Oryzias latipes: one gene and its partners. The protein of the gene in region 3 purifies or fractionates together with the protein of the main gene of each other region. This does not show direct contact. Links are inferred from orthologs where the notes say so. Each region holds a gene or a part of one and is shown on either strand. Other genes may lie near its edges. The genes, in order: snrpd1, usp39, sf3b1, dnajc8, snrpa, u2surp and mcm5.

Region 1 (3,932 bases), on a different chromosome or scaffold from region 3:
TTTTCAGCATTTTCACGTTTGGACTGATGGTGAATGTTGTGGTGGCATTTGTTCTCCACACTGTTTGATTAAATCCTCCCTCCACAAATACCTTCTTTTTTCTTTTTTTTTAAATACAACAATTTGCACTTTCTTTAGGTTTCACTTGATACATTCCCAGCTTGTCTCAATAAATAAAAAGTATTGCTGTTTGGCCAAAACTCTAAATGAAATATCAATGCAAAGTTTACTCTCAATAAAAAGATCTGAAAGTTTGCTCCTTTGTTCTTTTTGTCTTCTTTCCTAGATCAATGGTTCCCAGCTTTTTGTGTATTTTGTAAGGATGTAAAGGATACAGTTACGTATTGAAAATTGATCAAGTACTGGAAGTAACAGCTCTATCAATCGATAACCTTAAATACGAGCAAGTTGGTGAAAAGGTAAAAAAATGAAATCAATCAGGAAGTAAATCGTTATTTTTTTTTCTTTTCTGTCTTTACTGTCTTTGCCTTTTTATGTACATGTGATGCCAACATGAAGACACCCAATCACAAAGCCTACTTCTACCAAATCGGGTCAATTATGATTGGCTGAATGTGAACCACAGTGTGCTGTGTTCTCTTTTTTCACGGTACTGCAAACAATGCCTGAATAAATTCCTATGACAATTTTTTGATCATAAATAAAAACAGAACAGTATTCGTAGTTGAAGCAGTTCTCTCAGAGATGTTTTGTTTTTGTTGCTTCAAAAAAAGGGCCAATAAGAACAAAATTTAAGAAAAAAGTTTCTCTGTTAAATGGCATTTCCATTAATAATTTTAAATGCCAAATACATAAATAGAAATCTATGAATAAATGACTGGTACTTTATTTTTTAGCACCATACAATGGCATCAGGGTGCCAAAGGGCTTACATTAACATAACATTTAAAATTGAGTAGATTGAGAGGGGAAAAAAACAGCATTAGATGGAAAAAACAATAAAACACATAGAAAAACAGTTAATAATTAAAGTAATTGGTAAGTAATTAAATAAAGACAGTAAAGGAATATTAGATGCCACCAACCCAATGAGTAAGAGAAAACAACTCATTTTTGTCTTTCCACTGACTGTTCTTCATCTCACCACCAGGCGGCGGTAAGACAACATTGACGGTGAGCGGTGGCCTCTTTCTGACGTCATATCAACGCGACACAAACGTTGGTGGTACATCAGCGGCCTGTGATTTCACTCGATCGCTGTAATTTTTCTCGTCGGTGGAGGATCTTTTCTCTACTGTTCGTCATGAAACTAGTCAGGTAATTTGCTGCATGGTCTGTAGATGTGTCGACTGGTTTAAGATAGGATGATGAAATAAAGGCTGTGTGGCCGGATGGGTTCAGATAGACAAATGAACTGTGTGGAGAGGCGGGAACAAGGCTGCTGGGTTTTCATTCAAAAAATACATATAAACATATCATTAGAGCTAACTATTTAATCAAGGATTAAACTGCTTGTTTTAGCAATATTTGTAAAAGATCGAGGCTGATTCGTTATCATTTATGGTTTTGCAAATTTCCCCCCGCATTATTAAAACTATCGTACTAAAGGAGGTTAATTTATTAGATGTTGTTTCCGTTTCCTCAAAGTGCTTTATCATTATTTAATTGTATTTATTTTTGGATGTTTTTAATTTCCACAACTTAAGAGACAAATGTTTTGTTTTCAGTTTACACAACAGTATCAATCCACCGAAGCTAACAAGCTAAGAGCTAACACGAGTTTTGTTTAGATACTAAAAAAAAAATACATTCAAAAAGGGGGGGGGGGGTATTTTGTACAATTTTATACGTTAAATCTTATGTGTTGTACAAAAATGCTGTCTAATGTTTGTGAGAGAGAGACGTCTTCTTTGTGCAAAGCAGTAAGTTGGCTAATTGATCATTCAAGATGGATCTAGTCATTAAAGTCTTCTACAGCAATGGTGCCAACCTTCTAATAAAGCGGTTTTTTATTGTATTTAATTTATCAAAATATTTTTATGATTAACAGAAAACGTTACCAACAATTATTTCTAACAAAAAGTCCGCATAAATGTTCATACAAAACATTAAAAAATGTGAATCTGAAAATGGAGTTTAAAGTCTTCCATTTTATCCAGTATGTATGGGATCAAATGCAGTTTTTGTATGAAATGGTGCATATCACAGTATGTTTATTTCCCTCGTTTTTTTTATGTTTGACATTTTGTTTATTTCATTTGTATTTTGTGAATATGAACAGACATAAAAATGATGCTTTTAATTTGTTAAAGTCCACCAATCAATTATTGATTAACATTTTCCTGTTCTAGTTCTGCTTAAAGGTCAGCATGTTATTAGTGTATTTTTTTTCATGGTATTGTCACTTTAAAACATTGACGTTTAAATGAAAGTGCCTTTTGGATTCAGAAAACCAAAATGAATGTGCCAATTCTAGGTTTTTGAAAAATACACTTTTGAGTAAGAATAAAACACGTGAACCTTTTTTGTTTCATGTGGGATGACAATAAATCATGTTTTTTTTTTTTTTGCGAAAATGATTCTTTCCCTGAAGTGTAGATACATTATACTGGTACTGCTTTTTGATTACAAAATGGTATGTTTGGTAAAGTATAGTGCAGTAAAACAACTCTTAAAGGTTAAGTAAATGTAAATGTATGCTACTCTCCCGTGTCCACACAGGTTTTTGATGAAGCTCAGTCATGAGACCGTTACCATTGAACTGAAGAATGGCACTCAGGTCCATGGCACCATCACAGGTGAGAGCAAACACTTTAGAGACGAATAAATGAACTAAATCATTTTTAAAATCCTCTTCTTCTTCTTTTTAATAGGTGTTGATGTAAGCATGAACACACACTTGAAGGCGGTGAAAATGACCCTAAAGAACAGGGAACCCACTCAGCTGGAGTCCCTGAGTATCCGAGGCAACAACATTCGCTACTTCATCCTGCCAGACAGTCTTCCACTGGACACCTTGCTGGTCGACATTGAACCAAAGATCAAGTCCAAGAAGAGAGAAGCAGGTGGGAGATTTGGGCACATTCTTACCTGGAAAATTGTATTAAGTTGAGAAGGATTTTTCTGCGATAAGAAATCCCTCAACAGTATTTATATTCATCATGGGTGTGTAAATCTGCTGTTTATTTCTTTGAGAAATGTTTTGTTCTGCTGATTAAAACTTTTTTTTTTCACGAGTATGGTGAAAGAATCTGGCCTTTCTTGTTCTCAGTTGCTGGTAGGGGGCGAGGCAGAGGACGGGGCCGTGGCAGAGGAAGAGGACGAGGGCGAGGTGGACCACGGAGATGATTTCAGAGCCCCAACTGTTTGTACAGCTTTTAATTGTACTGCGCGGTGGACGCAAAGTGAATCTAAGTGTAAGTTTAGGGTTGTTTTTCTTTTTTATACTCGTGGGTTGTTTAAGACCGCGAGGGGGTTTTGGATGCTGTTGATTCATAATTTGTACCATCTTGAATAAAATGTCTGAGCAGCATTTAAACTGGGTAAAAATGTCATCTGTTTTTTGCTTTTTTTATACCTTCTTGTGTCTTTGGCAAAGTTGGCTGAAAATGTAGCTGTTCTACTGGCATCAAAGAAGAATAAATCTTTTTTTTTCTCTTTGTAATATTTGGCTCTTTAATTGGCTTGATTAGTTTTCACTTTTCCTATAAGTGATTGAAATAGGTTGATAAGGTTTTTTTTCACAGTTTCTGGAACTGATTACATCTCAACTTATTGTTGATGATGTTCCAGATACTGCTGATCCACCTCTGGTGGATGGTGTGGATGTTGATGACTGCAAATGTAAAAACCTTTTGTCCAATACTTAGATGGGCTGGCTCTTAACCCACATAAGTTTCCAATAAAATAAAGAAAATCCACTTTGAATTTTGACATCATTGTAAAAACTTATGTTTGTTATTGAAGATCTC
Region 2 (4,299 bases), on a different chromosome or scaffold from region 3:
GTTTCAGTGTCTGTGCCCGACCCACTCTCATTCCACTCGTCAGCATCAGCGGCGGTTCCTGGCTCTGAACTATCTGGAAAGAACCAAAACAGAAACGCAAAAGTGTTACATTTCCTCTAAAAGCAGCAAAGTAAGAAATATGTCAGTCTTACGTCTCCGTCGAGGATGGTACACCTGGATGTCAGGTCGCCGAGGCTTTTTGGGGGTTGTGGTGCGCCTGTGCCGCTGAAGCTCTTTGGCTTGCTTCACTTCTTTATCATAGTCATCTCTTATAAAGAAATTGAAATATTTTCTGATTATTTCTTAAAAACATAGCAAGTTGCACAGTTGAATAAAACACAGAGCATCTTGGTCATGGCCATGAACTTAAAAATGTTCCTAGGTCTGTTTACACATTGGAGGATAATACTTTTTTTAAAATTTTATTATTTTAAGGCAAAACAGCTTTGTTTTTCATACATCAAAGCAATTTAAAGAGCCGCACAACAAAGCAACATTATTATTGCTGTTCTTTTAGCTTTATAGTTCATCTTTCAAAGTTGCCTAAATAAAATCAACATGTTAAAAATCCGTTTTAAATGATTAAATAAAGAGTGAGAGTGTGGGAATTAAAACAAACTTTTTTGTTTGGACGTAAATCAAAATACTTATCATACATTATTGTAGCAGCTTTTTTTAAGACCAGACAGAGAGCAGATGCTGTAAAACAGCCCAACTCAGCGTATGTAATTTATCAAGGAGGAACTTTAAAAGTTTTACACACCAAACCTAAGTTTATATAATAATCCACTTTTAAATAATAAATTACACTAATAAAACATAAACCGAATAACTTAATGCTCCTTTTAAAATTTCAGTCAGTCCAATAGGGTTTTGCTTCTACTGCTTTAAAGTAAAAATAAACTTGACTTTAAGCCTTTTAGGTACTTTAAAAAAATGTTATTTCACTGTCTGCCATTTTTAAAAAAATCATTTCACATCAATCATGAAATGACAGCAGCTACAGATTGACATTTGACATCCCAAGTAAGTATGCTAACTCGGCTAACAGCAAAAAGGAAATCACCTGGCAATCTGGTTCCTCCGAATATGATGAAGGAAACCGTGGCTCATGTCCAGACGGCCCCCCGGTTTGTACTTCAGCTCATGCACTCCTTCATCTCTTATAAGATCCATTTCAGCAAACACTCTAGAAAGAAAACACAGCTAAAGAAGAACAAGCAAAATACTAACAAAAAGCTAGACAGCTAACGATGTATAAATGGATGTCCAACCGTAGCGTTCCCGGAGTTTCTACAAATTAATTTATTGCGTGTAAGTCCTACAATGCACATTGAACTAAAATATAAACTATTTTGGTTATATTTCTGTGACAAAAAAAGAAACTGAAGTATACAAATAAATAAAATATATTACTTAGAGTTTACATGGGGGTAAACATTTATTTTTTAAACTCCGGGTTACGTTTTGGTTTCCCACGCCATTACCACCGACGTACAACCACCGCGAGTTTCGAGGAGCTGAATAATATCCATTCATTTCCTCTCGTAAACCTTCAAGTTTTGTTAATTTTTGTTTCGTTAGCAAACCGTTTGCTAACTTATAGTTACAAGAATGTCTTTAAAGCGTGAAAGGGAGGAAATAGAAGACGACGAGGATAACGAAGACGAAGGTATGCTGATTTGTCTCTTACGTCCGTTTTTCGTTTTGTTAGCCAGCCAGAAGAGCATTTTCTAGCATAAAAAGTTTATATTGTGTCAGTTCCATTCTACACCAATAAACTGATGGTTTCACATGTAAGACAAAGACAATCAGCATATAAAAATATATGTAAAACCTGTTTATTTTAAAACAGAGATCGATTAATAGAAAAATCTTAGCTTGCTAGCAAGCATGTTTTGATTGCTAGTAGTTAGTTGTTCTCGTAAAAATGAATTCCGTTTACGTCTACTGAGCTTTATCGTGATTTGCTCTCTTTTGCAGTGACAGTCAAATTTAGGCGAGGACGTGTGGTTGAAGACCGAAGAAGCCGCCATTGTCCTTACCTGGACACCATAAACAGGCAAGGAAATGTTTGAAAATGTATGCTAAAGCTAGTTAGCATTCTTCTTGTAATTCAGTTTCTTCTCGTCTTGCAGGAGTGTTCTGGATTTTGACTTTGAGAAGCTCTGCTCCATTTCTCTGTCTCACATTAATGTTTATGCCTGTCTTATTTGTGGGAAATACTTTCAAGGTAGACATATTAGCACATCAAACGCACATTGTTATTTTCCTTTTTAGATGACACTAAACATCTTTACGTTTGCATTCCTTGTTGCAGGCAGAGGTCAGAAGTCTCATGCCTACACTCACAGTGTCCAGTTTTCTCACCATGTGTTCCTCAACTTGCACACACTCAAGTTTTACTGTCTGCCAGACAACTATGAGATCATTGACTCATCGCTAGAAGACATCACAGTAAGTAATGCAGTAAATCTGCTGTTTTTCAATGTATAAATGAAAAGGTAATTGCTCTGGGGGGAAAAGTAAACAGTTACATGTTAAAATTAAACAAAGTTTTTTGTTTTTCTTCTAGATATGATTGATAGATTCTTTTGCTCACATTCCTTGTTTGTCAGTGTAACACTTCAATAGTTTTCATTAACATATTCTGTGTTTAAAAATAGTTTTAACTTGTGAACCCAGAGTACATAAAAATGTGTTCGATATTTATATATTTTATACAAGGCCAATGTATTTGATTGCATAGTATATTTTATTTACTATATTTTGCACATAAGTATCAGTACTAGTATCTAAAAATAAGTTATTTAGCAATGTCTTAAAGTATACTTTTTAGAGTTTTGGCTGTAATTTTAATACGTCTTTTTTTTTTACATTTCTTTTTTAAATTTTTAATGTTTTATGTTAAGTAATTTTTACCCCTCCTTTTTTTATTTTTTGTAAGCTCTTGCTTTGTGTTGGTAATCTTGCTCTTTTTTTCTTTAGTATGTGCTGAAGCCGACTTTCACCAAGCAGCACATTGAGGGTCTGGACAAACATGGTAAACTGTACAGAGCCTACGATGGTACAACCTACCTGCCAGGGATTGTAGGGCTTAATAACATTAAAGCCAACGACTATGCCAATGCTGTACTACAGGTATGAAACCCCGCTGATGTTGATTTTTGAGGCTGTGGCATCAACTTAAATAACAGGGGGTTTCATATTGTACTTTTGTTTTTAGGCTTTTTCCAACGTCCCACCTTTGCGAAACTACTTCCTTGAGGAGGAGAACTACAGAGACATCCGGAGGCCACCAGGGGACATCATGTTTCTGCTGGTGCAGCGGTTTGGGGAGCTGATGCGCAAACTTTGGAATCCGAGAAACTTCAAGGCCCACGTGTCGCCCCACGAGATGCTGCAGGCTGTAGTCCTGTGCAGCAAGAAAAACTTCCAAATCACCAAACAAGGTAACTATTTTGTGGCCTGTGGAGTGCTGACATAAATAGGGCCATGTAGGCTGAGATTTTGGGCAAAAACCTCATTCCATCAATGAGAGCACTAAAGATGAAACATGGCTGGATCTTCCAACATGACTGATCCCAAAAACATAACTCTGGCATCAAAGAGAATCTGTGGAGGGAGTTTAAAGTATGTTTCTCAGCAAAAGCCTCAAAACATTACAGCTCTGCATGGAAGAATGGTCCAGAATAATAGCTATAGTGTTTGTAAACCTGCTTAAGACCTATGTTTGACCTTTGTCATAGATAATCATGGTTACATTACAAACTATTGAGGTGAACTTTTGTTGTTGACCAAATTCTTATTTTCTGCACTATTATACAAATACATTCTCTAAAAATCTGACAATGTGATTTCCTGGATAATTTATTGGACATTTTATCTCTCAGTTGAAGTATATCTATGGTAAACATTACAGACCAAACTCAGCTTTTTGAGCGGGACAACTTGCAGAGTCAGTGGCTGCCAAATACTTTTTTGCCCCACAATCTTTAACTCACTGGATAAGTTTGTAGAGTTTGCTCAATGTTTTCTGGTTTGCAGGTGATGCTGTGGACTTCATGACATGGTTCCTAAACGCCATGCATGGCGCTCTTGGAGGCACAAAGAAGAAGCCATGTGAGTCAGAAATTCACTCCTAGTTTATAGTAAATCTGTTGAATTTCTGAATTCATTTATTTGATGTGTAATTTTCTCTTTTATTCCAATGTAAGGAGTCTATTTTAGAGCCAGTGCTGGTTGTCTGCATGCAATGTCCTTCAATTTAACTGGTCTGCTCTTTGTTTTCACACAGCA
Region 3 (4,175 bases):
TCCTGAAGAACTGTGACGTCATCAGGTACCCCAGCAGAGCACCTTCATGTGCCACTGAGCTTTTCTGAGGACAGCTGCCGTCTTTGATCCAACACCTGGATGCAGGTGAGGGGAGGAGCCAGGATGTCACCTGCAGCATTCCTCACATTTCAGACCTGCTGTCAGTAACATCTGCGGTTATCAGTAGTGATGATGACACAAACACTGAAGTGAGACACTGGAGGTTTTCCTCTATTTCTGCTTCTGCCTGTTTCCCCCGCAGTTCTGGTTCTGGTTCTGGTTTAGTTCTAGCCCACAGACCCGTTTTTATCAGATGAATCAATGAAGAAAAGGTTCCGCTTGAAATGAGCGGTGAAAACCTTCCGAGCTGAACTTTTTTCTGCGGAAGTTCTTCTTCTCCGTCTGCGCCGCGGTCCGTCCCCTCAGAGGCGGAACCGAGCTCCGCTTTGACCCGGGCGGGATGCTGAGCGGCGCCTCGGAGGCTAAGCTAACGGTGGCTAGCGCACCCTACCTGATCGGCCAGCTTGAGGACCGCCATCTCTGGGTCAGCCGCTGCGACCTGCACGGAGCGATGCTGCGCGGCAAGCGTCCGCCTGGACCGGGGCTGCAGCGGCGTCTACGAGGCTCGTGGGTAACCGGTGCTTGCTGTTGTGAGGAAGGCCGTGCCGGGCTCCACGGCCATCAGCCCTGCTCCACGGACGCTATCCGCGGCGCCGCTAGAACGCGGCGGCCGCGCAGAGTCAAAGGGAGGCGGGACAGGTCTGAGCCGCCGCCGCAAACAACCCGCATCTACGGCTGCCGCTGGTCGGAGATGCCGCGCGGCTCTGGGAGCTTTACGGAGCACGCGGAAGCCTCCGTCCGCCCTGGGTGCAGTGAAGGGATCTGGGGAGACAGCGGGCTGAAGGCAGAGCGCACAGGAAGTGGCAGCGTCCGCCTGTCAGATTCAGAAGTGGAGCTTCCTCAGCAGCATCACCGGCCGCGCGGGTTGCCGCTCGCTGCCGCCCCTAGCGGCCACGCGCGGGGCGCCGCTCGCTGCTGCCCCTAGCGGCCACGCGCGGGGCGCCGCTCGCGGCTGCCCCTAGCGGCCACGCGTGATGAGCCGCTGAGGGGGCAGTGAGCGTAAACATGAATAAAGTTAAGTTAAAAAATTATATACAATAATAGAGAAAAATACATACTTATAATCATTATTCAACAAGGTGAATAATGATAATTATAATACTTATTATTATTGTTGCTGTTTTTTATAGGCTGTTTGCACAGTGGGTTGAGAGGAAAGAAATTTCATCTGTGCTGTAGATCTTGTAAAATTCAGTACATTTAAAAATAAAGCTGACTTAATATAATAATAATAATAATAATAATAATAATAATAATAATAATAATAATAACGTTTCTCTGTCGTGCTGGCTAAAAGAGGCGGAAGAAGAGGTGACGCACTTCCGGTGTCAGTCTCGAACAACCACCGTCAAGATGGCGAAGATCGCCAAAACACACGAAGGTAAAATATCACGAAAACCTGTGAATACGTTGTGTGTGGCCCTCTCTTCAGCTCTTTTGCTTTTTTAAATAATGTATGCGTTTTGTGGTGTCAAATGTTTTTTGAAGTTGTGCTTTGTGGCCGACAAAAACATAAAAAACGAGGCGGCCTGTGACGACGCAACGCGGACATTTTACATAATGGCGCCGGTTGCTAGCAAGCGAGCTGAAGCCTCACACAGCACCTTTGCTACCGTGAAATAGTTCACGTTACTGCGCTAAGCCGTTGAGTTCTGTGTATATTGGTATTTTATTTGTTAGTTTGTTATCTGCAGTTGTTTGGTTTTCTTTGTCCTGTAGATTAGCATATTTAACGCGAACACGCAGCGTGACCAACTTCGCCGTGCTATTTGCACAAAATGTTTTTGCAGTGCAAATGAACGATTTTGCAGTGCAAAACGGTTTTGTGTGAATCTTTGTGGTTCTTCTGTGGCAAAGAACCGATCATCCTATCGAAACCAGTCTGCGGTGTTTTGGGTGCAAACCTGGCCGTTTAGTTCACGAAGAACCGCGGGATGAATGTCAGCAACGTGCGTTTGTAACAAAAGCCCAATCTTTCGTTTAACGTGTGATCAGCAATGGGCGCGTGCTGGAGCGATCAGGCTCAGCTTTTGGTGTGTAAACAAAAGACCAGGCTGGAGCTGCTGTTCAGGATTGATTCATCATTAAGCGAGAAAACTGTTCAGGAGCGCGCTTGTTGCATGAAATTACATTTACAAATTTAGCCGATTTCAATTAAAAAGTCAATCAAAAAACTCAAAAGTCCCCCCCCCCCGTTTATTATGCGACTTAAGATCATTTTTCTACAGCTTTGCTATTTGTAACTAATGAAGTTGACTAAAAAAAGTGTCATTAATTGTTGACATTGAAGCTTTCCATAACTTGTTGTGGTTTTTTATTTTTACGAAAAACCCACATGGCCACAAATCCAGTTTTAACAATAAAATATTGTTGAAAAATGTAATGTATATTCATTCCCACATGTATTTTTACTTGGGTGCTTAGATATTGAGGCGCAGATCCTGGAGATCCAGGGGATGAAGGCCTCCCTGAAAGAGGATGCAGGTCAGGGAGTGGGCCTGGACTCCACTGGCTTTTACGACCAGGAGATCTATGGAGGCAGCGACGGTCGTTTTGTGGGATATGTCACTTCCATTGCAGCCAATGAGCAGGAAGATGTAAGTAAAGATGTTTTACCTGCAGTTTTCAGTCTGCTCCCACCGTGCTTGTCTTGTGTGAGCTAGGAGAGTCTTGCCGCTTTGGCGAGATTTGACTAGACTCTTGTTTCTCTTTCTGTCTTTAGGATGATGAAGATGACACATCGACAAGTTTGTTGGGACAGAAGAAGCCAGGCTACCATGCACCAGTGGCAATGCTCAACTCCATTCCCCAGTCAGATGAACATGTATGTGTTCCTTAACATGACAGGAGGTGCACCTTCTTTCCAGGACTTTGGATCAGAGCCTCATTTCTGTCTCCATTTTGCAGTACGACCCATTCGCAGAGCATCGCGCGCCGAAAATCGCAGATCGGGAAGATGAATACAAAGCTCGTCGCAGACAGATGATCATTTCGCCTGAGCGCCTTGACCCCTTTGCAGACGGTAAATGTCACCCTTTTTTATCCTGCCTCGATGCCTCAGTTTCACTTCTTTGTTCTGTTTCTGTGTTTTTCGTGGTTCTTATGACTCTTCCAAGAAAGCCAGTGGCTTCATCCAGGTAGATTTTCTGTTCAACCCTTCGACCACAGTGTAGTAGACTGAAACCTTCCTTTGTTAAACCCACTGTCAGTGTAAGAGGGTTTGAACAGGCATGGGTCGAAGGGTTAACAACCCCACAGTGGACAGCATGTGAGGGTAAACGGCGTGCACGGGGGCGCAGTCGACCACCCTCCTGAGTCTGAACCCTCAACGGGGCATTTGCTCAGCAGCACCTTCTTACTTTTGTAAGACGTGCTTTGAGAAAACATTGCTTTAAATTTGCCCCTTTAAAGTCTGACTTGCCCCGTTTCCGGACATCCAGGTGTCCTGTGGTAATTCAGGCGTTCAAGCTGGACAAGCAGAGTCTGTTCTGAACTGCTCCAGCTTTCAGGGTGAGCTTCTGCAGCGCCCGTGAATGCTGCTGTAAGCCGCTCACGGTAACGCCTCGCTGCCGCCGACCGGCCCGGGGCCGTCAGGTGTGCTTAGGCCGCGTCAAACCTGCATGTGAAGGCAGTTCTTTGTTCAAAGTTGTTTTGCAAATATATACTTTTATTTTACAAGTCTGTAAAATAGAAAAATGTGATCAAGAAACGTTGTGTACACCAATACCACAGGCCCATACTAACTGTCCTTAATTTCTCTCCTACAGCAGTACTGCTTTGCCAGTCCTGTACTGCACTCTGTTAAGGGTGCAGCAACTCATCCTGTGTAGGTTATGGGGGACACTGTGCACTTGTCAGTTTGGTCAGGGTCCACGGGCTGCTTGTTTGGGGGGCTGTGAGGGGAATCAGCGCAGCTACAGCAAACCTCCACCCCCAGCAGCCTCTTTGATTTGGTTCTTCAGAGACCAAGCATTTATTTAAAGCCTTTGACTACATGTCTTCATGTTGATGTTGAAAAAGAAGTCAAAGACCTGAGAGTACAGACTGAGCAGTGC
Region 4 (4,107 bases), on a different chromosome or scaffold from region 3:
CCTCTCGTCACCAGGCAGTAAAGGAGCTGCCCGCATCCATGTGAATGAGTTTACAGATTCGGAAGAGACTTTTTGGTAAGACTGTTCATTATCACATGATTTAGGAAATATGAGCATGTTTGTTAACAAAGTCCTCTCTTATAATCTATAAGTAGTTGAGTCAAAAGGGGGCCTAACCTGAAAGCAGTACAGCAAACCGTAGTGGTCATGCTTTTAGTTTGAAAATCCTGCTGATGATGCCTGGATGCATTTTGAACAAAGTGTTGGGTTGTTTCTGTCTTGTTTGGCTCTTCTGTAGTTCAGGGTCTTAAAATGGATCTCCACCAGGTACCCTTGTAGGATTTCACACCTCACCTGAGCTCGGCGGCCTCCTGTCCAGATCACAGGTGAGAAAAACAGTGTTTTACTCATTCATTTTTTTTTCCTACCCTTTAATCCCTTTCGGGGTCACGGGGCTGCCGGAGCCTATCCCGGCCACTTGTGGGCGAAGGCGGGGGACACCCTGGACAGTTCGCCAGTCTGTCGCAGGGCCACAAACCACACACCCATTCACTCTCACACTCACACCCAGGGACGATTTAGAGTTGCCAATTGACATATGAAGCATGTTTTCGGACAGTGGGAGGACGCTGGAGAGAACGCACGCATGCACAGGGAGAACATGAAAACTCCACACAGAAAGGTCCCCCATTGGTGTTCTGGTTCAGACCCCCCAGCCGGAAAAAAGAAAACACTTTTTACTAGCTGGTTATTATCACTATACATTTGGGTTTTTCTGCCCGTCTGTCACCTGTAAACGGGTGATCTGTGGACTAATTGTTCTCATGTGATTACTATAACAAATGTGTAATTTAAAACATGTTTTTTTTTTTTTTACATTGTCATCAGAATAAATAAGTGCAAACAAAAAACTGGCGTTTGTGTGTTTTATGTTATTAAAACTGACCTAAAGAATACATCTTTACAGGAGGTATAACAATACATTAATTTTAAAGGTAAATTAGGTTCACGTTTTTTAAATCCTTCAACTATGGTCTGTAAAGCGCAGTTAGGAGCGTTCGACTTGATTATAATTGGTTTAAAATTGATTTCAGTTGAGTCATTTATTTTGAAATTTCCTGCTTTAATTTGTAGTATTAAAACGGGATTTATCGTTGAGAACTGTATCAAATAAGAACTCAAGCAAACTGAAGGTTTTTGGATTATCATAAATACTCCGTTATAGGTCCATCGATCCGTCTCCTTACATTGTCAATGTGTGTAAATAGTTTGTTTGGTATTTTTCTGCGCAAAGTCCCATTTAAAGAAAGCGAGGCTGTGTGGCGGTCACGTGACAGTACGTCACAGTAGCCGGGCTTAAAATGGCGGCGGCCGAAGGAGAGTCCTCTCACAGTGTGTCAGATGAATTATTTCAGAACTTTTACACGGAGGTATGACGGAATCCTGGTTCACGCGTGTTTTCCGAGCCCTCCGGGTGGACCGGAACAGCCCGCTGTCGTTTGCTAGTCCGCGGGTTTCTCCAGCGCCACAAACGAGGCCTCGCGGGCTGCAGCAGGCAGCAGCTAGCTGCAGGAAGCTAACCGTTTACTCTCATTTTCTGGAAACTTCTGCAGATTATCCAGACTTTTTCTGTTCACAAATGTATTTCCACAGGATTTATTTTTTTGTGCTGCAGTTTTTCAAACACGCCTCTTTCGCGGCTCTGCCTTTAGTTCCCGCGCAGATCAGAAATCCAGAGATTCATTCATTAAAAAGCGGCGTGTTGTGGGTAGTAAACAACGCGGTGATCTTTGTCTGTGGCTCAGTGGAGTTGTGTATCTTAACAGGTGAAACAGATAGAGAAGAGAGACTCTGTGTTGACCTCAAAGCAGCAGATTGACAGACTCCTCAGACCCGGATCCTCCTACTTCAACCTCAACCCCTTTGAGGTAAACAGCGCGCGCGCTTTTGTTGTTTTATTTATATCCAAATAAGCATCCACTCCGGTCAAAGGCGGATGGGGGACCTAAACAGTGAAATAGCTTTCATTAGAAGCAAGAAAAAAACAAATAATGTTTGTTTTAAAATTAAATTAACATTTGAAATGGAAAAATAAGTATGAACATGATCTTGTTTATGTTTGCATCAATAGCAAAGCTTTTATTGTGTAAAATAATTATGGGATTTGACTTTTTTTTTTTTGCGCAGTTAGAGCTTTGATATTTCATTTATATATAATATATAATAAATAAAGTTACAGATTCAGTCCAGTAAGATTTCTGACTCTTAATAGAATTACTAAGATAAGATATACAGGAGTTCAGTAAATAAACACAGTTGGATTCATTTTGAAACCACAAAAGTCTAATAATGTGGATTCATCTTGTCCCAAGTGTGTTTTTAAATAAAAAGATCTACAGATGTTTTTGTTTTTTAAGAAATGTTAATAGTTTTTTCAAGTCAATGCCATTAAGTGTTTTTATGCGTTTGGATCCTTGTGTTAAAGGTTTGTTTTGCTTTCAGGTTTTACAGATTGATCCAGAGGCAACAGACGATGAACTAAAGAAGAGATTCAGAGCAGTAAGGAAACGATTCCTATGTTTGAATTTCCCTTAAAACATTTATTTCTTATTTTAAATCTTTGTCTGTTCAATTCTGCAGTTGTCCATATTAGTCCATCCTGACAAAAATCAGGATGATCCTGACAGATCGCAGAAAGCTTTTGAAGGTAAAACTCTTATCATTTAACTTTTTTTTTTGTGCCTAAAAAGCAGCAAAATATTTAACCTGAGGTTGTTTTCCAGCTGTGGACAAAGCTTACAAGCTCCTACTCGATCCAGAACAGAAGAAAAGAGCTTTAGATGTGATCGAGGCCGGAAAAGAATATGTGGAACATAATGTGAGTTCTTCTGTTTGTGAGGAATTCAACTGAAAAATCCCGGTTCGTGACCGTTTCTGTCCTCAAACAGGTAAAGGAGAAGAAGAAGCAGCTGAAGAAAGACGGGAAATGTCAAGATGTGGAGGAGGACGACCCGGAAATGGTAACGACAATTCCTTTAAATGTTGGGAAAAAGGTTTGTTGGAATCACACACGTTGCACTGAGTGATGGGTATTTTTTTTCCCTCTCACCAGTTTAAACAGGCAGTGTACAAACAGACAATGAAGTTGTTTGCAGAGCTGGAGATCAAGAGGAAGGAGAGGGAAGCGAAGGACATGCATGAGCGGTAAACGCATCACGGCTCTCAGAGCAGACCTTTGTGTCCGTTTGGCGTCTCGTCTGTAACGCGGCGGACTCTCCTCACCAGGAAACGAGCTCGAGAGGAAGAGATCGAGGCGGCGGAGAAGGCGAAGCGGGACAGAGAATGGCAGAAAAACTTTGAGGTTTGTGTGCTTCCCTGCATCTGGAACATGTCATTTCTAACGTCAAAAACAATCCTGTGAACTGAAAATGACTCCAGAGGATCAACCGAGAGGAAAAATGTCACGAGACGCTAGAAAAAGCAAGAGAGAAGCATTTTTATGAGGAAGTTTTTTAATTCTGAAGTGTTGAACAAAGCTTTGACTTGTAGGATAGCACGGCTCATCGGCGCCCCCTGCAGTCACAGTCTAAAATCCTCCTCATCAGTGTTTTCCCAACCTTCAGGTTTAATGTCAGACAATATATTTGGCCTTAGTTGGTGTTTAATTCTAAAGTTGTTGATTTGTAGATGTTTGGTTTTTTTAATTAGTAAAAAAATAAAAAATCTAATAAAGGCGATATAAATGTTTTTTTTTTGTTTTAACAATGGAAACTCTATTCAGGCTCAGATACTTTCAGGGGGAAAGATGAATCTTTTTGATTATTAAATCCTGATTCCTCGTATTTTCTGTACTGTTCTGTACTTTAAAGTGCGGCCTAGTTTAGCTTTGCTGTAGGGAAAATCTTTAACATTCTTTTTTTTAATCAGAAACTTTTCGTCATTCTTTGTCAAGTATTTGCCTCTGTTTTCTTTGGATTTTCTATGGGATCCGTTAAAATCATGTTGATTTTCCTCCAAGTGAAAGCTAACAATCAGACGCCAACTTCAGCCTCGTGCAACGGATAAATACTACAAAATAAAGTTACATAGTCAAAAAAGTAGCTTTTT
Region 5 (4,044 bases), on a different chromosome or scaffold from region 3:
CGGCTCAGTTTGTGGTTGCCGACAAGATTCATAGTAGATATGTGTACTTTGAATGATCCTATGACCTAAAATCAATCCAGGACAACTCCATGCATCTCATAATAAATACCAGGGTGCTGTGCAGTGAAAGTGACGTTTACCAGATTACTTGGATTTCTTGCAAGATAATTTAGTGTAAATAAATGTGTACAAAACAAGTAAACAACAATTCATTACTAATAGTTATGGTAAAAAAAAACAAAAAAAAACACGATCATGTCTCAGTTCAACTAGTATTTTCCGAGATCGATTATCATTCATTCATATTATTTTGAAAGGATTTTATAATGCTATAGGTTAATTACGAACTTGCCTCAGATCCGGTTGGATAAATCGATACATTGATTAATTGTTACACCCCTTGCAGGAAGCTGTGTAGGTGCCAGTCTGAGAAGGATGGAGTAAATACAAGTTTTAGATGACCAAAAAAAAATCCATAAACAAGAAATAATGAAAATCAATCAAGTAATCTAATTACTTTAATACAAAACAACAAATACCAAGCTCCAGGTACAATGTCTGACAAGTCAGACACTGGGTGCAATGCTTTCAAACTTTTTAAAACTAAAGTCATGTCAAAGTGACTTAGAAAAAGCATACTTACATGTAATCTGGGAAAAAAACAAATATTTTATTAAAAAAACGCCTTTTACTTCCACCACTTAAAAAGGAAAAAAACAAATTACAAATTTCAACCTGTGTTGGCATTATTTCTTGGCAAATGAGATCTTCATTGCATGAGTCTGTGTGATTTTGAATCCCTGTAGTGAATCTCGTGCAGCTCCAGCCTGAACCTCATTATCAAACTCCACAAAGGCGATGTCATGGCGACCAGGGACCAGACGCACCTCTTTAAAGCCAGGGAACCTAAACGCAGAAAACGGTCACGGTCAGTCTTTGATATGTTGGGCAGAAAAGAAAGTCAAAGCATAAAACAATTATCAAGTCAATACTGACTGGTTAAAGAGCATGGAGAGCATCAGCTCGTTCGTCTCCTCTGGCAGGTTGGTGAGGAAGAGGATGTGATTCGGTGGATTTTCTGCAACCTGTAAGAGAAGGCAAATGTTTGACAAAAAAGAAACAAAACCTGGAATGTTCATCTTTGGTTAAACATGTAAAGAACAGGGGGACAAAAATCATTACCTGCTGAGGCATTTGGCCAGGCATCATCTGACCCATTGCACCTGGGGGGATCTGGCCAGGCGCCATTCCTGGGGGAGGCATCATGCCTGGAGGAGGCATGTAGGCCGGCTGGCCTGGAATATGCATCATACGGGGAGCTTGGCTCATAGGAGGCATTCCCTAGAGAATGACACATTGTAAACATGTTCATGGTCCTCTAAATGTTTGCTAGGTTGATATTATGTTCTGTGGGGTTTTTAAACCAAACTTTTTCTCCATCAATTGCTGTTATTTTAGCTTAAAATCTCCAAACAACCTATCGCTATGGTAAACTTAGCAAGTTTGCAGACAGTATTTTTCCACTTTTAACTTGTCCGAGTAAGAGCTGCCATGTCATTCTGGTCACAGTAAACGTTCCCACTTACAGGCATAGCAGTAGGCACACCAGCCATCATGGCTGCAGCAGCAGCTTTCTTAGCTCCTGTTCCTTCAGGCTTGGGCTTCCTCTTCTCCTTTTTGCGCTCACGTTCCACATAGGTTCCTTTCATTTTTGCTATGATGTCCGAGTCTGTTTTGGAATACTGAATGCGCTGCAGTAAGACACGTTTAAATATGTGGCATTACTATACCAAGTGTGCTTAAAAAAAAGAAAAAATCCATTATACCTACTAGTTATTTAAATGTATTTTTAATAACCATTAAAAAGTGTTCAGTGTTAAGTGTTCAGTGATCCTCTCACACTGAGCACTTCTAAGTTTACAAAGATCAATCCTTCATTTGATGCACACTGTGGAATTGAAACATTTCACAAACTATACAACACATGACAGCAGAGAGGAATATTGAAAACTAAGATTGATTTGAGTTTTAACATTTTACAGGACGATATTTGTAAATTTAAAACCATGGAGGAAATTAAAACAACGTTTAACTTACCATGGGTTTATCATAGAAAGGGAACCCCTGCATGGACCTCAGTGCATTTGAGGCGCTGTTGATCTCTTTGAAGATAACAAAGGCCTGACCCTTCATCTTCAGGGTTCGTGCGACGAGGATGTCCAAAATTTGACCGAATTGCGAGAAGATGGCGTACAGTGACTTCTTCAGTTCTAATAAAGACAGAGGAAAATAAAAAGCTGTGGTGGATCTGAATTAACATCATTTATCACCACATCGTTCTTTCGACCAAAAAAGCAAAGAAAGGCCAGAAGTTAAAAAACTTACCATCTTTCTTAATTTTTTCGTTCAAGTTGTTGATATATATGGTGTGATTGGGTCGTACTTCTGGAGTGGTCATCTTAAAATCTACGAAGAGTTGTTTGGAAAAGAACAAAGCATGTCACATAAAATGAATTGAATGCTATCAACTAGTTAGCAGGCTAACAGCTAGCGCTAGCAAACAACCCTGAATGCATGCAGGCATTACTAGCATAAAGCTTAAAACTCGGTATAAACTGAGACAAATCAGCAATAAATGATTAATTTAATCGAACTATCTGTAACCTTATGACATTTGGTTTTATAAAAGAGAAAAAACACCGGATAACCGCACCTGAGTATCAGTTTTAACAAAAAACCCACCACCGCTCGGCGCGAAAGGAACGCTCACTTCGATGGGTGAATGAAAAACCTGCCTTTACAATTTCCGTATCATCTGCTCGCGATAAATCCAACTTGCACGTGATTTCCGGTCCTTCTCTTTTTTATTGAACATTTGCAGAATATAATACAAAAATGCAACATTTATAACAGTAAAATATAAAGAATACAATTACGTTCTGAATAAATAAAAAAATCTTTTTAACCTTGTAAAAAACTTCTTCTTTCTCTTTCGGCTTTTCCCATCAGGGGTCGCCACAGCGAATCATCGTCCTCCACCTCACTCTAACCTTGTGAAAACTATTAAGAACAAAATTATAAGCAATATCGATTGTTAAAACGAATCTTGTTCAATAATATACAATTAAAGCAATCACAGAGGGAAAAACTAAGTAACAATACAGTAACAGTAAAAATAAATACATAAATAAAACAAGAATAAAAAATAGAAATAAAGCCAGTGTATTTGCGGTCCTTTTCAGTCAATGGTCAAAAACGAAATTTGTTTCAGTATTTGCGTTAGCAAGATATTTTAATCGTCCTATCAGTGTGGTATCGTATCTTGACAGGAAAGATTAAAAGAAAATGTCAAAAATCTGTAAAAGAAAAAGAAAAAAACCCAGAGACACAAGCGAAAAAAACTTCGCTTGTCCTGTTACACACTGACTGTGGATTGACTTGTCACTAACTTTGTGCCTTCAACTTTATTTCCAAATACATTGTACGGTATGTGTGTAAATGGTGTGTTAAACTGTAGATGACTAGTGATGGAATGATCATCATCACTCACTGGAGGGTGGTGTAACAGTTGAGTACAGAGCGATCGCACACACGAAGAAGAGCGAGTATGTCCAAATATGAGCACGGAGCTGCGTTAGCTACTAGCTTGTTAGCTAGTTAAATCGAAAAGTTTGTTTACCACGTGCAAGAATATGTCAAATCTTTTTCGTCCAAAGGTTGACATGTTTAGGTAAACATCGAGCTTTTTAGATTGTGTGCAAACGACTCGAAGTGAAAGGTAAGCAGTTATTGAGCCCCATGTTAGACTTTAATGGTACTTAACTTTCTCCCTGGTGGTTATTAAAGAAATCAATGGAGGTACATTTTTCCCCCCAACAGAGCTGGTTTTGATCAGACAGAGTAGAAAGATTTTGAGACTATGCCGGTGGACTGCAGCTTGTCATCACCTCCTCCACCTCCTCCACTGGCTGCTTGTCCGCCTCCTCCTCCACCAACTTCAGCACCACCGAAGAAACTGTACCAGATCATAGCAAATAACAGCAG
Region 6 (4,289 bases), on a different chromosome or scaffold from region 3:
TTTAGCCTCTCTCGGGGCTGTGCATTGAAGGGAAGGCCGGAGGGAGGCGGCGGTAGAGTGTGCTCCATCATAGAGGGAGGGATGTAGATGGGATGGGGTGGAATGGGAACACCTTTGCCCCATCCTAATTTCATCTCAAAGTTCATGATCATCTTTCCTGTAAATTGAGAAGAAATAAAGGATTAGAAAAACTTTAAACACAACTCAATTCAAAAGTTAGTTCATTAGCACCCTGATGTACCATTGAGGTGTTTGAGTGCTCGCTCAGCATCCCTCCTGTTCATAAAAGCCACAAAGCCACAGTTCCGCTCCCGAGCTCTCTCCTCATCTGTCCGTGGCCACATGATCTTCACACTGGCCAGAGGGCCGTAGCGACCAAACTCTTGACACAACATTTCTTCATTCATCTAAAAAACAGAATAGTCAAAAAAGAGAAATTTACTCTTCATTTGCTGGAAGATTTTCATGACAAAAACTTGTTTTTAAATAAGCAAAGGGTCCCCTCTCTGTTATCTGGATGACCTACCTGTGGGTTGATGTTTCCAAGATACAGGTTCGTTGTGGATGGGTCTCCTACATCGTGGGAACCTGGTGCACAGTCATCCAAAACTGCAGACACAAAGGAGAGAAAAGAATGTCCTGTTGCTGTCCGACGGCACAAATCTGACTTTCTGAGCAAGCTGCACATATTCACGGCCTTTATATTAAATCAAAATTACCACTGGACGGACGGTTTCTTCTTGAAGAACCATCCGCTAAAAGAAGCAGAAAAGCAGTGTAAATTTTGTTTCTGGGTGAGAGTGGATAAAGGGGTAGCAGGTGAGGTCAAGCGTGCGGGACAGGGCCTTTCAGACCAAGTTAGTACGCCAAAGACTTGAACAGAGCGCAAAAAGACTCACATGAACGTCTTCCCTCCATGCCAGCGAGGGGCTCAAAACGACTAACACGGCCTTTCAACTTGTGTCTTTCATCCCTTTCCTCTTGAATCCTGCCATGAATGCAAACAGTGTTAGTTTTTAAGTACGATTATCTAAGGCCAGACAATCAAAACAATATCTTTTGAACAATCCCAAAATGTTCATATTGAAACATACTGTTTAAGTTCTTCCTTGAAGAGTTCCAGGTTACTCTTCTTCTTTTCCTTTTCGGTATTTTTCTTAACAGTCTAAAATTCAAATAAATACATACTATGAGAAAACAGAAGCAAAGGGGGATACAACAATTAAAAACGCACATGACTGACTTTAGTAAAACCTACTTGTTTTCTGTCAAATGCTAAAAATTGGGGTGGGGTCTCCAAAGGCAAGATGCTTTTTGTTTGGGCGTCAAAACGGGACTTGGGCTTGTATAACTTTCCTTTTTTCTCATCAGCGGCTGCTTCTTCTAGAAAGATATTGAAAAAAAAAGATCCAACTCAATCTATTAGAATATACATAAGAATATATATATATGAATACTGTACCAGAAATATGACGACAACTGTCAATTAAACAAATAAAGTGATTTATATGGTAAAGTACAAGACACATTTTAAGAAAATTACTAGTAAAATAAAACAAAAATTTACAAGTTTGTATTTGTTTGCAACAAACGTTGTAATAAGCATAAAATAAATGTTTAAACACTAACAAGTGTGTTTTACTCTCCACAGTGATGATCAAAAACTGTACCTTTTGTTGCATTTGCGATACCACCACGGACAAATGCCTTAACTTTCCCCTCTCCTCCACCTTCGAATGCAGCAAGAAATTCCTCATAAATCTCTGCTGCTGCCCGCTCATCCTCCTGAGTTGAAAAATAAGACATTTTAAAGGAAAATTTCTAAACAGATTCACTTCTCATATAACATTTTATTAGAGCATGAAATGAGAATAATGCTTGCCTTTTTCTTTAGTTCATCTTGTTCCTTTTTGCTTAAGGTCCTTTTTGCTACTGCCATCTTGCCAATGCTAAAAGATTTCAGTTTGCTCTCAAGCAGCGCCTGCACATCATGTCAAAGAAAAAAAAAAGTTGGCTTTCAATTTGCATTTTCTAACCACTAATACAAAAGATTTTATGGCATAAGAGCATCCAAATAATACCAAACAGTCAATGTGTTCTATTTTGGTTACACTTTTTTTAAATGTCAAAATAATAAAGCAGGTAAACTTAAGTTTAAACAGACAGCTCCGTTTCAAATATGGGCATTTAAGAATTTAACCTTAGTTTTGCTCAGTTCAACATTTCAGTTTGAAGTGACTATTTAGTGGATTTAAAAACGACATTTCTGAGAGGCCCGAAGAATGTGTGTGGACTGGAGCGCGACTGAATATATGATCTACGCGGCAAGTAGCTGCTCCCGCAAGCTACCGTTGACGTACAATCAGCGCTAAAAAGACAAAACATTACACCGTTTAGATGTTTAAGCCAAAAGTTTGTAACCTAAACTGTTATATTTACTATATTTACATTAGTTACTGTACTAACTATGTTTATTCTCTTGTCAACAGCTAACCGAGTCTAGCTAAAAGTGGCTAGTTTGTTAGCTTAGCTTAGCTCAATGAAGTCAGTAAGGCTGCTGCACGTTTGCGCGGCGGTACGTCTGAAACTTATCTTTCTTGGAGTCACGCTCTGTTACTATATGTTTTAATCAAAGTACTCTCTCATTTAAATCATTTTTACTGTGACAGACACTTCTAAATGGGTACAAAAACAAAGTGAAAATGTCACCTTAGCGCTAGCTTTTTGAGAGCCAGGCGTTCGGTCCGCCATCTTTTGTGGAACTAAAATAAAATCGATCATCGAATCAATGATATGTGTGTATAAAGCAGAAACTTCAGGGCGTATAATCGATCACCGAGTCACTGTTTTTTGTTTTTGACATTTTGAAACATCTTTAAGATGTTTCAAAATGTCGAGGAATGTTTAATCATTAAAGAACATGTAGAAAAAAAGACCTTAAAAGCTTTAATGTTATTTAATGGGGAAAAAAAGCACATCACAAAAATCCAAAAACCGACCCCAAAGGTTGTCTAAATGTGTGACAGGACCTGAAAAAAGAGCAAAAAAGATTACACATTTTGCAAAAAGTCCATAAAAGTTCAACTAAATCAACAATTCCAAATGTGAACGGTATAAATGTGTTTTTAAAAAAGTGTTTTAAATTTGCAAAATAATAACCCACTTGCTAGGCAGTACATTTTTTCTAATGTAATAGAAAAATATGTTAGACTTGTGAAAAAAAACATTTAATTTTAAATACAGTTATGTGTTAGAAATAAAAAGAATTAATGTAATATTTTTTTCATACGTCATGAGCGGAGTGACGCTCACTTCCGTATTCCTCACGCCTATGGAAGCGATTATGTAGCATAAATAAAAAGCAAAGTCAAAACAAGAAATGCTTTTTCATTTTCAAAATGAAGCTGCATTTTTTGACTCAAAAATATAATAAAAAAGCAATCCACCAAAATGCTTTTTCATTTCCTTCCTCAACACAGCTTATTCTGTCACTTAATTAAAATTAAAATTAAAATGGTATTTGACATTTCATTTTCAAACAGTTCCATGGTAAATGTGTAGCATAATTCATTTAGAAATGTCTAATTTGACCATTAAAATGGATTAATAGAAATGCTTTTTAATTTTCAAAATGAAGCTGCATTTTTTGACTCAAAATTAAAAAGAAAAAGCAATATTTCAAAATGCTTTTTCATTTCCTTCCTCAATACAGCTTATTCTGTCACTTAATTAAAATGATAAATAAAATGGTATTTGACATTTCATTTTCAAAAAGGTCCCTGGTAAATGTGTACCAAAAATCATTTAGAAATGTCTCATTTGACAATTAAAATGGATTAACAGAAATGCTTTTTAATTTTCAAAATGAAGCTGCATTTTTTGACTCAAAATTAAAAAGAAAAAGCAATATTTCAAAATGCTTTTTCATTTTATACCTAAAACCGCTCATTCTGTGTCATAATTCAAACGAAAATGCAAAGAGGGGATTGCATTTGCATTTTAACATCCACCCCGCGCAAGTTGTCACAATATTCAATTCGAAAAAGCATTAGCAGAGGGGAGGCGGGGCGATGACGTCACTGCTTTCTCCGTGTGTCCGGCCGCTGACTGACGCACACACGCGCACCAGGAGCAGACTGTGTTAGCGGCAGAGACGAGGGTTTTGTGATGGTTGTGAACTTCTGATGAGTTTCCACAGCTTCTCAGGACTAAGTAGCTGCATGTCCGCCTTCTGCGGTCCTCCTCCTGACGCACCGCGGACAAGCTTTGTTCTTCGGACCGCCAGCTGC
Region 7 (4,062 bases), on a different chromosome or scaffold from region 3:
GATGTATTTCTTAAAGGTGGCGAGAGGAATCTCGCCCTCGACTCCTTCCGTCTGCGTCTGCGCACTCAGGTGGACGTTCATCACGTGGCGAGCCAGCGTCTGCGAGCAGAGTCAGGCGGCAAAGTCAGCGGAAGCACTAAAGAGAATTGAAGCATCAAACCTCCCGTCGCGTCCTCTCACCATGTCTCGCTGCTGGTCGTGGTGGTCCTTGATGATGAAGATCATGTCGAAGCGGGACAGGATGGTGGGCATGAAGTCGATGTTGTCCTCGCCTTTGGTGTCGTCCCAGCGGCCATACACAGAGTTGGCCGCCGCCAGCACGGAGCAGCGGGAGTTCAGGGTGGTGGTGATTCCAGCCTAAAGGCCGCAGACTATTAGCATTTTTCCAATGAAGCCCAATAAGGAGGTCAAACTTAAGGCGGTTACCTTAGCGATGGAGATGGTCTGCTGCTCCATGGCCTCGTGGATCGCCACTCTGTCGTCTTCTCTCATCTGAGGAGAAAAACAGCCTGAAGGACGAGCAACCCCGATGCTGCCCCCCAGCTCACCCTGGACCTACCTTATCAAACTCATCAATGCAAACGACACCACCATCCGCCAGCACCATAGCCCCTCCCTCCATGATGAATCCACGAGTGCTGGGGTCTCTCAGCACGGAGGCGGTCAGCCCAGCTGCACTGCTGCCCTTACCTGATGTATAAACCTGCAAGTGAGAGTCAGCATCAGAACTTTTTTCCCTCCGGATAATTAAAAAAAAAAAAAAACACAAACAAATACCCCGATCGGTGAGCATCTCTCCACAAACTTAAGCAGCTGGGATTTGGCTGTTCCAGGGTCTCCAAGCATCAGCAGGTTGATGTCTCCTCTGCGCGTGAGACCGTCAGGTAACCTAACAGACACAAGAACAGACTCTTAGCTTCAAAACAACATCGTTGCAGCAGCAACAAAAATGAAGAAATAAACCGTTCTATCGCCGTACCTCTTTCTCGAGCCTCCAAACAGCAGACAGGTGATGGCCTTCTTCAGATCGTCGCTGCCATAGATGGAGGGAGCGAGGGACTGCGCCAGGGAGCTGTAGATGTTGGGAGAGGTAGACAACGCTCTCAGCTCTTCTTCCTCCTGTGCAGAGACGGGTCCGGTGGCGCCGCGGCCTGCAGCCAAGAAACAAGAAGATAAAATGACCCCCCAAACCTAACAATGTGCTTCTCACAACCAACCCTGTCATCGGGATCTTTACCTGCTCCTTCCGTGTCCACCTGGATGCCAACGACTCGCAGGTAAGATGAACGAATTCCCACGCCGATACCCTTTTCTTTGCCTTTGGCCTTTACAGCAGCCATTTTTTTGATAGAGTAGATGCCCATGATGGTCACTCGGTTGCCCGGGACCACGCGGTCACACAGGTACCTGGGGACGGAGGAAAACCTCAGTGGCGTGCCGCAAAAGCAACGGAGCAGCAGACTCCGGTGATCTCCATGGCTACCTGTCGCAGTAGAGCTGCAGGTGGCGCGGCATCTCTCCGTGCGGCACAGCATCGGGAGACTCCTGCAGGCGGAGCGTCTGGAAGTCCACGCACACGCAGCGGTCCGGGATGATGAAGTATGGATCCATGGGACACTTCACTCTGCCAGCATTCTCGCTGAAAACACAGAAGGTCGTTTTGAGGCTGAGTCGTCTAGCAGGGTCAACCTGAGACCGGAATGCGATTCCTCACCTGTTGCATTTTCTGGGCAGAGCGTAACCCTGCAGGCCCGGAGGCAGGGGGATGTTGGGGATGACGCTGCGGCAACCGCGGCACTGCAGGCACACCTTGGTGGCCTTCGCCTTGACTGCTGTGGCAGAAATGATGATGCCGTGGACCTTCACCAGACGGGACACTTGCTCCGACTGGAAAGACACACAGAAAGGTGATCCATGTGTGGAATGACTGCAACGTCGGGCACAGCAGGGTCCTAAGGTACCTTCAGGTTCCGGATGGATGTGTGGTGGGCATCGCTCTTCAACATGACCTGGATGTCCTGCACCGCCTCCTCCCCCACAGGTCGGGGTCGGGTCACCTCATCGGCCACCTCCTTAGCTGCTTCCTCCAGCTTAAGAGATACGTTTTATCTATACATTAGTCGTGAGTCAGACTTTCATGACCGCATAAAAATGTGAACTAGGATACTCACCAACGGCAGGTTCTCAGTAGGAAGTTTGTAAAGGCAGTCAGACAGATCTTCATCAAAGCTGGCAAGATCCTCCACCTCCACCTCCAACCAGAACTCCCCCAAAGTGTAATGTCGCTTCAGCTCATCTCTGCGGAACAACAGGAGACAATCAGGACTTTTGAGCTTCTAAAGCAGATGTTTTAATCATATAACTACATTTCCCATAATGCAACTGCCTCGTGATATAGCACCACTTCACTTATCGTTTACTTTGAAAGTAGATGCAGATTTGAGAACCGCTTTGAGTTCATAAGGAGCCTGACCTGTATTTGTAAGTGAACCCGGTTTGGTCAGTTCCCTCTCTGAACTGACGCAGGAACTCTCGGAACCGCTTCTTGATCTGGACCCGCTTCTGTCCACCTTCGTCCCCGCCGGGTCCCTCTCCCCCGCCGAAGCTGTCGCTGTAGTAAACGCCGGGGTCGTCAAAGCCAGACATGCTGAAGCGGCTGAAGCTGACACCAAAAGTTGTGCTTTTCTGGAGCCAAACAGACAGGAAGGACCCGACTTTGTGACGACGTTTCGCGGGAAAAACTGAAGCGTCTTCCTTTCTGTTTCCCGCGGGTTCTCTGCTAGTTCCGCCCCTTTCCTAGACTCTGATTGGTCAGGTTCAAACATAGCTTTTCTTTATTTGTCGAACATGTAGATATGGGCGAACTCTTCAGCTGAAGGCGGGGCGCTGAGTCGCGATGGCGCGAAAAACAGAAGAGGAGGAGCTTCTGAAGCATGGCGACAGCAGAAAAGCAAAATAACAAAGAAGGGCCACGAGCTTAGAGAAACCTAATGACACATTTTCTCCTAGATGTAGAATTTGAAGTGAGACAGTGAAACCCATGCAAGCACAGTTTATTTTGAGTTAATTAAAGCAACTTTTTCCACATAAAGTTACATTTTTATCAATGATAAGGCAACTTAAATGTGAAATGTGTTAACCTAATAGGAAAACATTACAGCTGCTGATGGATGACGCTTCAGCCTTCTAGCACCTCTTTTGTCTTTGTTCTGCTTCAAAATAAGATCTGAATATGTTCAGTGGGGCAAAAAAGTATTTAGTCAGCCTTGTGCAAGTTCTCCCACTGGAGATGAGAGAGGCCTGTAATTTTCATCATAGGTATACATCAACTATGAGAGACAAAATGACATCTATGACTCCCCAGAAGATCTCCCCCGTGGGCTCCCCCGTGAGCAAAAATCCCAGAACCACATGAGGGACCTGGTGAATGACCTGCAGAGAGCTGGGGCCAAAGTAACAAAGGCTACCATCAAAAACACACTACAACGCCAGGGACTCAAACCCTGCAGTGCCAGACGTGTCCCTCTGATAAAGCCAGTACATGTGCAGGCCCATCCAAAGTTTGCTAGAGAGCATTTGGATGATCCAGAAGAGGATTGGGAGAATGTCCTATGTTCAGATGAAACCAAAATAGAACTTTTTGATAGAACTCTACTCGTCGGTTCGGAGGAGAAAGAATGCAGAGTTGCATCCAAAGAACACCATACCTACTCTAAAGCATGGGGGTGGAAACATGATGTTTGGGGCTGCTTTTCAGCAAAGGGACCAGGACGACAGATTTGTGTAAAGGAAAGAATGAATGGGGCCATGTATGGTCAGTCAAAGTGACCTTGGGCAAGACACTGAATCCCACCTTGCCTTTGGTGGGAGGTTGGTGCCAGTTTTCAGCAGCAGAGCCGCCACCAGTGTGTGAATGCGTGTGTGACTGGGTGAATGGGTCTGTGACTGTAAAGCGCTTTGGGCCTTGAAGAAGGTAGAAAAGGGCTATATAAGTATACGCCATTTACCATTTACCAATCCCAAACACACTGCCCGGGTAATGAAGGAACGGCTTTGTAAGAA

Evidence for each region.
Region 1: the proteins of sf3b1 (region 3) and snrpd1 fractionate together in Homo sapiens (co-fractionation; 5 studies listed by BioGRID and IntAct, with this or other methods). This does not show direct contact. The link is inferred for Oryzias latipes from reciprocal best matches to the Homo sapiens genes SF3B1 and SNRPD1.
Region 2: the proteins of sf3b1 (region 3) and usp39 purify together in Homo sapiens (co-immunoprecipitation; 3 studies listed by BioGRID and IntAct, with this or other methods). This does not show direct contact. The link is inferred for Oryzias latipes from reciprocal best matches to the Homo sapiens genes SF3B1 and USP39.
Region 4: the proteins of sf3b1 (region 3) and dnajc8 purify together in Homo sapiens (co-immunoprecipitation; 4 studies listed by BioGRID and IntAct, with this or other methods). This does not show direct contact. The link is inferred for Oryzias latipes from reciprocal best matches to the Homo sapiens genes SF3B1 and DNAJC8.
Region 5: the proteins of sf3b1 (region 3) and snrpa fractionate together in Homo sapiens (co-fractionation; 4 studies listed by BioGRID and IntAct, with this or other methods). This does not show direct contact. The link is inferred for Oryzias latipes from reciprocal best matches to the Homo sapiens genes SF3B1 and SNRPA.
Region 6: the proteins of sf3b1 (region 3) and u2surp purify together in Homo sapiens (affinity purification with mass spectrometry; 4 studies listed by BioGRID and IntAct, with this or other methods). This does not show direct contact. The link is inferred for Oryzias latipes from reciprocal best matches to the Homo sapiens genes SF3B1 and U2SURP.
Region 7: the proteins of sf3b1 (region 3) and mcm5 purify together in Homo sapiens (affinity purification with mass spectrometry; 4 studies listed by BioGRID and IntAct, with this or other methods). This does not show direct contact. The link is inferred for Oryzias latipes from reciprocal best matches to the Homo sapiens genes SF3B1 and MCM5.

Annotation. Positions count from the first base shown.
Region 1 is NC_019869.2:22,965,507-22,969,438, reverse strand, and holds snrpd1 (small nuclear ribonucleoprotein Sm D1), read left to right. Parts: upstream 1-1,132; 5' UTR 1,133-1,264; coding exon 1,265-1,278; intron 1,279-2,682; coding exon 2,683-2,759; intron 2,760-2,834; coding exon 2,835-3,026; intron 3,027-3,232; coding exon 3,233-3,309; 3' UTR 3,310-3,881; downstream 3,882-3,932. UniProt on the Homo sapiens protein: Plays a role in pre-mRNA splicing as a core component of the spliceosomal U1, U2, U4 and U5 small nuclear ribonucleoproteins (snRNPs), the building blocks of the spliceosome.
Region 2 is NC_019867.2:12,332,727-12,337,025, forward strand, and holds the start of usp39 (U4/U6.U5 tri-snRNP-associated protein 2), read left to right. Parts: upstream 1-1,499; 5' UTR 1,500-1,614; coding exon 1,615-1,672; intron 1,673-1,983; coding exon 1,984-2,062; intron 2,063-2,138; coding exon 2,139-2,233; intron 2,234-2,320; coding exon 2,321-2,457; intron 2,458-2,988; coding exon 2,989-3,141; intron 3,142-3,226; coding exon 3,227-3,452; intron 3,453-4,047; coding exon 4,048-4,122; intron 4,123-4,297; coding exon 4,298-4,299. Other genes in the region: c9h2orf68 (UPF0561 protein C2orf68 homolog), read right to left, coding at 1-73, 153-268, 1,067-1,176.
Region 3 is NC_019879.2:181,879-186,053, reverse strand, and holds the start of sf3b1 (splicing factor 3B subunit 1), read left to right. Parts: upstream 1-1,375; 5' UTR 1,376-1,473; coding exon 1,474-1,501; intron 1,502-2,544; coding exon 2,545-2,717; intron 2,718-2,842; coding exon 2,843-2,944; intron 2,945-3,027; coding exon 3,028-3,142; intron 3,143-3,258; exon of another isoform or gene 3,259-4,175. Other genes in the region: ankrd44 (serine/threonine-protein phosphatase 6 regulatory ankyrin repeat subunit B), read right to left, coding at 512-538. UniProt on the Homo sapiens protein: Component of the 17S U2 SnRNP complex of the spliceosome, a large ribonucleoprotein complex that removes introns from transcribed pre-mRNAs.
Region 4 is NC_019869.2:6,659,773-6,663,879, forward strand, and holds the start of dnajc8 (dnaJ homolog subfamily C member 8), read left to right. Parts: upstream 1-1,307; 5' UTR 1,308-1,361; coding exon 1,362-1,430; intron 1,431-1,826; coding exon 1,827-1,928; intron 1,929-2,502; coding exon 2,503-2,559; intron 2,560-2,640; coding exon 2,641-2,707; intron 2,708-2,783; coding exon 2,784-2,878; intron 2,879-2,948; coding exon 2,949-3,020; intron 3,021-3,112; coding exon 3,113-3,204; intron 3,205-3,285; coding exon 3,286-3,361; intron 3,362-4,107. UniProt on the Homo sapiens protein: Suppresses polyglutamine (polyQ) aggregation of ATXN3 in neuronal cells.
Region 5 is NC_019871.2:13,958,484-13,962,527, reverse strand, and holds snrpa (U1 small nuclear ribonucleoprotein A), read right to left. Parts: upstream 2,796-4,044; 5' UTR 2,714-2,795; intron 2,467-2,713; 5' UTR 2,459-2,466; coding exon 2,386-2,458; intron 2,271-2,385; coding exon 2,098-2,270; intron 1,752-2,097; coding exon 1,587-1,751; intron 1,342-1,586; coding exon 1,183-1,341; intron 1,086-1,182; coding exon 997-1,085; intron 907-996; coding exon 747-906; 3' UTR 736-746; intron 651-735; 3' UTR 501-650; downstream 1-500. Other genes in the region: c13h19orf54 (UPF0692 protein C19orf54 homolog), read left to right, coding at 3,920-4,044. UniProt on the Homo sapiens protein: Component of the spliceosomal U1 snRNP, which is essential for recognition of the pre-mRNA 5' splice-site and the subsequent assembly of the spliceosome. U1 snRNP is the first snRNP to interact with pre-mRNA.
Region 6 is NC_019878.2:19,058,137-19,062,425, reverse strand, and holds the start of u2surp (U2 snRNP-associated SURP motif-containing protein), read right to left. Parts: upstream 2,801-4,289; 5' UTR 2,782-2,800; coding exon 2,710-2,781; intron 1,982-2,709; coding exon 1,883-1,981; intron 1,786-1,882; coding exon 1,671-1,785; intron 1,384-1,670; coding exon 1,259-1,383; intron 1,166-1,258; coding exon 1,095-1,165; intron 989-1,094; coding exon 900-988; intron 756-899; coding exon 720-755; intron 610-719; coding exon 527-609; intron 408-526; coding exon 242-407; intron 158-241; coding exon 1-157.
Region 7 is NC_019866.2:21,038,135-21,042,196, reverse strand, and holds the start of mcm5 (DNA replication licensing factor MCM5), read right to left. Parts: upstream 2,801-4,062; 5' UTR 2,647-2,800; coding exon 2,474-2,646; intron 2,299-2,473; coding exon 2,172-2,298; intron 2,091-2,171; coding exon 1,962-2,090; intron 1,888-1,961; coding exon 1,715-1,887; intron 1,640-1,714; coding exon 1,484-1,639; intron 1,408-1,483; coding exon 1,238-1,407; intron 1,152-1,237; coding exon 980-1,151; intron 890-979; coding exon 778-889; intron 704-777; coding exon 560-703; intron 493-559; coding exon 427-492; intron 358-426; coding exon 181-357; intron 100-180; coding exon 1-99. UniProt on the Homo sapiens protein: Acts as a component of the MCM2-7 complex (MCM complex) which is the replicative helicase essential for 'once per cell cycle' DNA replication initiation and elongation in eukaryotic cells.